2 linked regions of the Ovis aries genome follow. The main gene of each other region encodes a partner of the protein of the gene in region 2 in a complex. Links are inferred from orthologs where the notes say so. Each region holds a gene or a part of one and is shown on either strand. Other genes may lie near its edges.

The links.
Region 1: the proteins of ABCC9 (region 2) and KCNJ8 are in contact, whole or in part, in a cryo-EM structure (PDB 7MIT), measured with the Rattus norvegicus proteins. The link is inferred for Ovis aries from reciprocal best matches to the Homo sapiens genes ABCC9 and KCNJ8. Residues at the interface, in XP_038963045.1 of Rattus norvegicus: Phe5, Ile10, Tyr13, Asn14, Ile15, Val19, Asn22, Cys24, Phe25, Ala28, Leu29, Val32, Val35, Phe36, Phe39, Phe42, Pro43, Ile44, Phe46, Ile47, Gly48, Trp49, Gly50, Ser51, Lys55, Gln57, Ile58, Asn129, Phe130, Lys132; in NP_058795.3 of Rattus norvegicus: Met1, Leu2, Lys5, Ile7, Ile8, Pro9, Glu11, Tyr12, Val13, Leu14, Ala15, Arg16, Ile17, Ala19, Glu20, Asn21, Leu22, Leu45, Ala46, His47, Lys48, Asn49, Gly54, Arg55, Phe56, Leu57, Asp59, Ile60, Thr62, Thr63.

Annotation. Positions count from the first base shown.
Region 1 is NC_056056.1:194,013,088-194,015,984, reverse strand, and holds the end of KCNJ8 (ATP-sensitive inward rectifier potassium channel 8), read right to left. Parts: intron 1,847-2,897; coding exon 946-1,846; 3' UTR 768-945; downstream 1-767. UniProt on the Homo sapiens protein: Inward rectifier potassium channels are characterized by a greater tendency to allow potassium to flow into the cell rather than out of it.
Region 2 is NC_056056.1:193,842,408-193,846,240, reverse strand, and holds part of ABCC9 (ATP-binding cassette sub-family C member 9), read right to left. Parts: intron 1,237-3,833; coding exon 1,042-1,236; intron 1-1,041. UniProt on the Homo sapiens protein: Subunit of ATP-sensitive potassium channels (KATP). Can form cardiac and smooth muscle-type KATP channels with KCNJ11. KCNJ11 forms the channel pore while ABCC9 is required for activation and regulation.

The sequences.
Region 1 (2,897 bases), about 170 kb from region 2:
AAGTGAGTGAACAGAATCCACGTAGAAGTGATTAGAACTAAGCAGTTTTTCTGTGGAAAATCCAAAAATAAATTAGCAAGTTTCTGTTCATGTTTTCAAGACCCTGAATGAGAAGTTAACAGGAACTTTCATTCATCAGTCATATTGTGGGGTGATTTCTAGCTTTGAAACATTAAGCCTTACACTGCAATAAGCTGATTTAACAGAATAGGAATTTTGGTTTCTAGTTAGATTCCATTATGTTCATGTAGGAATTATGTTCATGATTAGAACTGAACTCAGTTGTTGTTTTCCAATTTCACAGATGTTCCTGCCTAACATTTTAGTGCAATTTCCCAATACTATTTCTCCTCATAATATACAATTTGAGGAACAAATAAAATCCAATATTTAAAAATTAATCAGCAAAATAAACAAAAAAGCAAAAAAGGAATCAAGCAGTTTTTGCCTCAAGCTTTGTACCTGGTGTAGTTTTAAAAAGAGAGGGAAAGGGAGGTAGGAAAAACATAGTTTGGGGTCATCTTGTCCATTCTATCCCTTTTCCAGGGTGAACCATAGAAACAGACATCTGTGATGTCACCCATTAAGCATTTCAAGCAGTATCATTTCTTGACCCGCTTTTGTATTCAAGGTCTATTACTATTCTTGTAATTCCTGTGTTTCAAATGGACAGAAATGAGAGCATTTCCTCTGTATAACCTAAGCCTATCACTTAGGGTGATAGGGTGATATTGCAAGGGTGAAGCAAGTGTAAGACAGGAACCCTCCACCTTGTGAGTTACCATTTATTGACACAGAAAGTGCTGCTGTTGGAATATGCATATCATTTAGTGTAATAAGATAAACAAGGACAAATTATTGTGTTTCAGCTCCAGTGCAATCTGTCCATGCCCTGCAGAAACTCTTCAACAGCGGATCAAAGACTTTCTGGGGGTTGTCTTGCTGTCAGGATTCGGAAGTGTTCTGATTTCCCTCGGGAGTCATAAACTGCACCTTGGGCACCATGAGGGAAGAATTGTTCCGGCGGATGGAATTGTTCCTCCTCATGGAATTGTTTCTTCTCATGGAATTGCGCTTCCTTAGAGAATTCTGATGGGACAATTCACTCTTCTGGAGGGTCTGGATAAGGATGGAAGGCTTCTCATCCAGCTCTCGGGCACTGCACCTTGGAGCAGCTACTTTCACGGTGTTGCCGAATTTGGAGTAATCCACAGAATACACACCTTCCTCCTCGGTCACGATGGACACGAAGCGATGGCCCCACTGGATCTCCTCAGCGATGTACGAGGTTCTAGCTTGTGTAGTAATGCCAGTAGTTTCGACCACTCCTTCTAGAATCACGATGACCTCCAGGTCTTGGTTGGCCAGGTCAGTGGCCGAGATATCGTACAAGGGGCTGCGCTTGTCAATCACATGGCAGATGATCAGAGGGGCCACCAGGAAAATGTTATTACTCTCAAGTGGGTTGTCAACAGGAATGTCCAGTTGGTGAATAGGTACCACCTCGCCTTCTGGGGTCGTGGTTTTCTTGACCACTTGGATGCGCACAGAGGCACTGATGATCATGCTTTTCCTTAGGTCCCCCACGCGGAACATGAAACACAGTTTGCCATTTCGGACGGCAATTACCGCATGGCGGCTGAAAATCAAGGTTTCCGCCCTTCGGTGAGCTTGGGCTGTTTTCATGAAAATGCAGCCCAACATGACTGCATTGATGATCAAACCCACAATGTTCTGTAGAATCAGGACTGTGATAGCCAGAGGGCATTCCTCAGTCATCATTCTCCCTCCAAATCCAATTGTCACTTGAACTTCAATGGAGAAGAGGAAGGCAGAGGTAAAAGATCTGTAAGGAATGAGATCAGAAAACAGTGCCATCAGTTCAGATTTTTGAATCAGGAAATAACACTGAAGCTGAATTTTTCATGTTCTCCTTTCAAAGGCTAATTTTTTTCATAAGTATTGTGGATTAACAATTTTGTGTTACTTTCTGGTACACAGCAAAGTGATTCAGTTATATATGTTCTTTTTCAGATTCTTTTCCTTTATGATGGCTATATAATATTGAGTATAGTTCATGTCATACAGTAGGTCCTTGTTGGTTATCTGTTGTGTATATAGTAATATGTATATTTTGATCCCAAACTCCTAATTTATTCCTCTCCCCTCCTTTCCCCTTTGGTAACCATAACCTAATTTTCTACATCTGTGAAACTAGTTCTCTTTTGTAAAGAAGATCATTTGTATCATATCTTTAGATTCCACATATGAGCTATATCATGATATTTGTCTTTCTCTGGCTTACTTAGTATGAGAATCTCTAGGTCCATCCACATTGCTGCAAATGGCATTACTTCATTCTTTTTAATGGCCGAGTAATATTCCAGTGTGTGTGTGTGTGTGTGTGTGTGTGTGTGTGTGTGTGTGTGTACTACATCTTCTTTATCCATTCACCTGTTCATGTCCAAAGGCTGTTAAATACTTTTGGAAACACTAGCCAACTTAATGTATCAAATGCCCTATTCTAAACACAAGCACTTGTTCATTTTCTCTCTTATCTGCATGTATCATTGTGAAATACTTCACTTTCACAAGTGAAAAGTGAAAGCGCAAGTTGCTCAGTCGTGTCCGACTCTTTGCAACCCCATAGACTATACAGACCATGGAATTCTCCAGGCCAGAATACTAGAAAGGGTAGCCTTTCCCTCGTCCAGGGGATCTTCTCAACCCAGGAATCGAACCCAGGTCTCCCACATTGCAGGTGGATTCTTTACCAGCTGAGCCACAAGGGAAGCCCAAGCATACGGAGTGGGTAGTCCATCCCTTCTGCAGGGGATCTTCCTGACTGAGGAGTTGAACCCAGGTCTCCTGCATTGCAGGCAGATTCTTTACCAACT
Region 2 (3,833 bases):
GCATATCCATAGATAACATGCTTATTATAAATAGCATTTATGGAAAGTGCCAATGTAAAGTGAGAATCAAATTCCACCAACAAGGACAATCAGAAAAAGCTTCAAGGAGAAGGCAACATTTACTGAAGGCTTTAGAAATATGTACAATTCCAATAGGTAAAAAAAGAGGACTGGAAATCAGATTGAGACCATAAAAAAGGAAAACTGACTCATCTGGACTAGAGTTTCTACACGTGAAACTAGGGAAATCAATTCTTATTTTAGAAGGAAATTGGGAAGCTCATGACGCAGACTTTCTTAAGAACAGAAAATATAAGGTTGTAAATTTATAACAGCAAATATTTTACACTATATAGTCCCCAGTAGTAACATAATGTCTAATAAAAATATAATGTGACTTGACCTGATCATTATGAAACAAGGCGATGGCTTTCACTATATAGGAAACCAAATCAAGTCACATTGCCCACTTCACTGGTCACTGAAAGTGAAGTCGCTCAGTCATGTCCGACTCTTTGCAATCCCATGGACTGTGGCCTACCAGGCTCCTCTGTCCACGGGATTTTCCAGGCAAGGGTACTGGAGTGGGGTGCTATTTCCTTCCCCAGGGGATCTTCCTAACCCAGGGATTGAACCCAGGTCTCCCACATTGCAGACAGACTCTTTACCATCTGAGCCATCTGGGGAAAAAGTGACTCAGCCCCAAGGACTCATGAATGAAAATTCTTTACAGGATTGCTAAAAAGATCTAATAAAATAACCAATGTGAAATTCCTGAGCATCATTTGCAGAACACTGTAAATGCTATTAAATGTTTATAGCCTCTGAATCTGAGAAATAATTTCATTGGCCAAATCCATTCAATGAATACATAATGTTTTTCTCTACAAGGAAAACTACAGTTTTCATTCTTTTAAAAAGCATTCAATTCTCTGTTAATAAGACTGTCTGCACTGCTCATAAAACTGCATTTTAAAAAAGTTAACGATTAAAAGAAATTTGTCAATAATATATTTCCATTCAAAGGCACCACAAACTTACTCTTGTTGGGTTATTTGTTTCATTCTGGGTTTCATTTACACGCTGAACTATTCCAGAAATACAGAGAGGTCCGGCAAAACCCAGTAAGTCAGCAAGATAACGAAATGTGCTACTAAGTAGAATTGGTCTCCCAAAAGCTCTGTACATTGCCAGCCATATAGATGGAGTCCGATTTGGGTCATCTGCCACTTTTTTCTGAAATAAAAAAAAAAATTTGATGAACCAAAATAAAATGATAAAGTGGCAATTAATCTTAGCCACTATGGAAATCTCTTCTAGTATTTCTGATATTTTAAAAGATAAAAATAAATGTTACTGAGTCACTTTCAATATACTACATATAGTTTGGTATTCCTGCATTCTTGCAACCAATAGATAATTAATTTTTAAGTAGATATTTCCATTTATTTAGCTAATTATTTTAATTTTGAACACATTCCAAAACTTTATATGTATGTAATATATATATTTAGTTCTTAGTGGCTTAACAATGTGTTGGTTTCTGCTGTACAACGTCAGCAGAATGTATGTAAGTATACATACATCCCCTGCCTCTTCAGCCTGCCTCTCATCCACCCCCATCCCACCCCCCTAAGTTATCACAGAGCACCAGACTGAACTCCCTGTGTTACACAGCAACTTCCCACTAGCTTTCTATTTCCCACATGGTAATGTATATATTTTAATGTTACTTTCTCAATTCATCCCACCCTCTCCTTTCTCCACTCTGTCCACAAATCCATTCTCTATGTCTGCATCTCTATTCTTGCTCTTGCAAACAGGTTCATCACCATTTTTCTAGATTCCATATATATGCATTACTGAATGCATTTTAATGAAAGAAAGAGAATGAAGAGTAACCAGGCAAATTTTTCAAACATTTTGTATTATTTTTAGTTGTCAAAGGATGACCCCAAATTTCCAAAGTCCAAATTAAGCTTAATTCCCTTTGATTTAGAAAATGAACATATCAGTTATGAATATTATCAAATGATGCTGTATGGAAAATAGTGAAATACAAAGTACAGGTTATTGACAGTCTAGTTAAGATTTCTGAAGTTTAGTTAAGATCTAAGATATCAGGTCACAAGAGATTAAGTTATCAAATTATTACAAGCTAAACAAAAGAGATCATCCTGAGGTAGGAGACAATGTGCCTCTGGGCCAGACACCTGGTGTTTGTCAGGTGGAGTAAAACTGAGCTTTTGTTCTAACCCAGACCCTCCAAAGACAAAGCTAGTGGCAAAAGTTGAGCTCTGCTAAAGCAAAGAGATAAAAGTACTCGCTCTTGAGGTCAAGGAAGACTTCCTGTTTGCATATGTGCCAAAAGGCTTCTTGGGGGTTGAAAAGGGAGGGGAACCCACCCCATAAGTGTGGACATGCACCATAGACCTCTGAGGTGGGATCCACCTTAGAGAAAAGTTGCTCACACATCTTGAGGAGGGTCCATGGACCAGCCAAGGGTGAAGAAAGAAACAAAGTAATTGGCCAAAGGTAAACAAAGTCCCAGAGAGACTGTCTTATATAAGTGATTTACATCACCTCTGTACTGAGCTCCTCCTCACTCAGGATGCTCCAACTCCTCTCTGCATGTGTCTCTCTGCCTAGCTTCTGACATACTGCCCTCCTCCTCACTAGAGAGGATGCCCATACCCCTTTCCTCTGGGTGTGTATCTCTGCCCTGGTTCTGAGTTAGATAAACAAACTGTTTTCCTGTATGCTTTCCCACACATTGTGCTATGTCTCTAACAATAAACTTTGTACCTGTTATTACAGTTTTTCCCTCCTTGAAACATTCTTGCTTTCAAATAGGGGCAAGAGCCAGGGCCACTATGCTTCTACCTCTAACTCCTGGTGGTCTAGTCGCTAGGACTCTTGGTTTTCATCCAGGTTACCCAGGTTTAAACCAGGCAGGGAACCCCACCCTTCAGGACCGCTCATGTCTCTTCAAGGCTCTCCCTCTGAGATCAATCCTAGCTTCAAACTGTTTCTTCTCCAGGTATTTCCTGTCTCCATATTAAATGGGGTCAATACTTTTTAAAGTTATGTTAGACTTGTGCCTCCTAGTTATTACTTAAAGAGATGCAAAATGAAGAATGGTATATCTACTTATGCCAACTTGTGGCTTCACAGTTCTATACTCATTTGTTGAAAAGATTTCAAGACCTGAACAATCATAATTACATCTTGGCAAAGAAGCTAACTCAATGCAGTGGAGTTCAATTGTGTTTCATATTCAACTCCTTGTGAGATGAATAATTTTAAAGCTTACTGATATTTAAGCAAATCTGTGTTATAAAGAGCATTCAGAAAACTAAAGCTATGCTTAGACTATATTATTAATCTTTATTTAGAAGTTGTTAAAAAACTATGCAATACTTTTCCCAGAGGTGAAACCAGAGAGATGACTCAGGTTCATCTGTAGTAACCATTTCCTGGATTAATAATTTCATAACACACATTTTGACACAAAACAGAGGTCATTTTCATCATTTACCATAAATGCTTTGTTGATCTAGATTTAGAACAGCCAAAAACTCTTTAACTGATCCACCATACAGTATTTCCTTCCAATGTTGGTATAAATATTCATATTTTAATTACAATAATATTTGTAGGCAACAGCAATATAAAATACATCCTCCACTGTGACTAGCACACAAGACTACTGAGAATGATAAAAAGACAAATTGAAAATATCCAAAGAGTCTCATATTTAAATCTTTGAAGGCAGTTATAAATACCCACAGAAAATACCAGCAGAAATCAATTTTGCCAGACATATAGAGTGA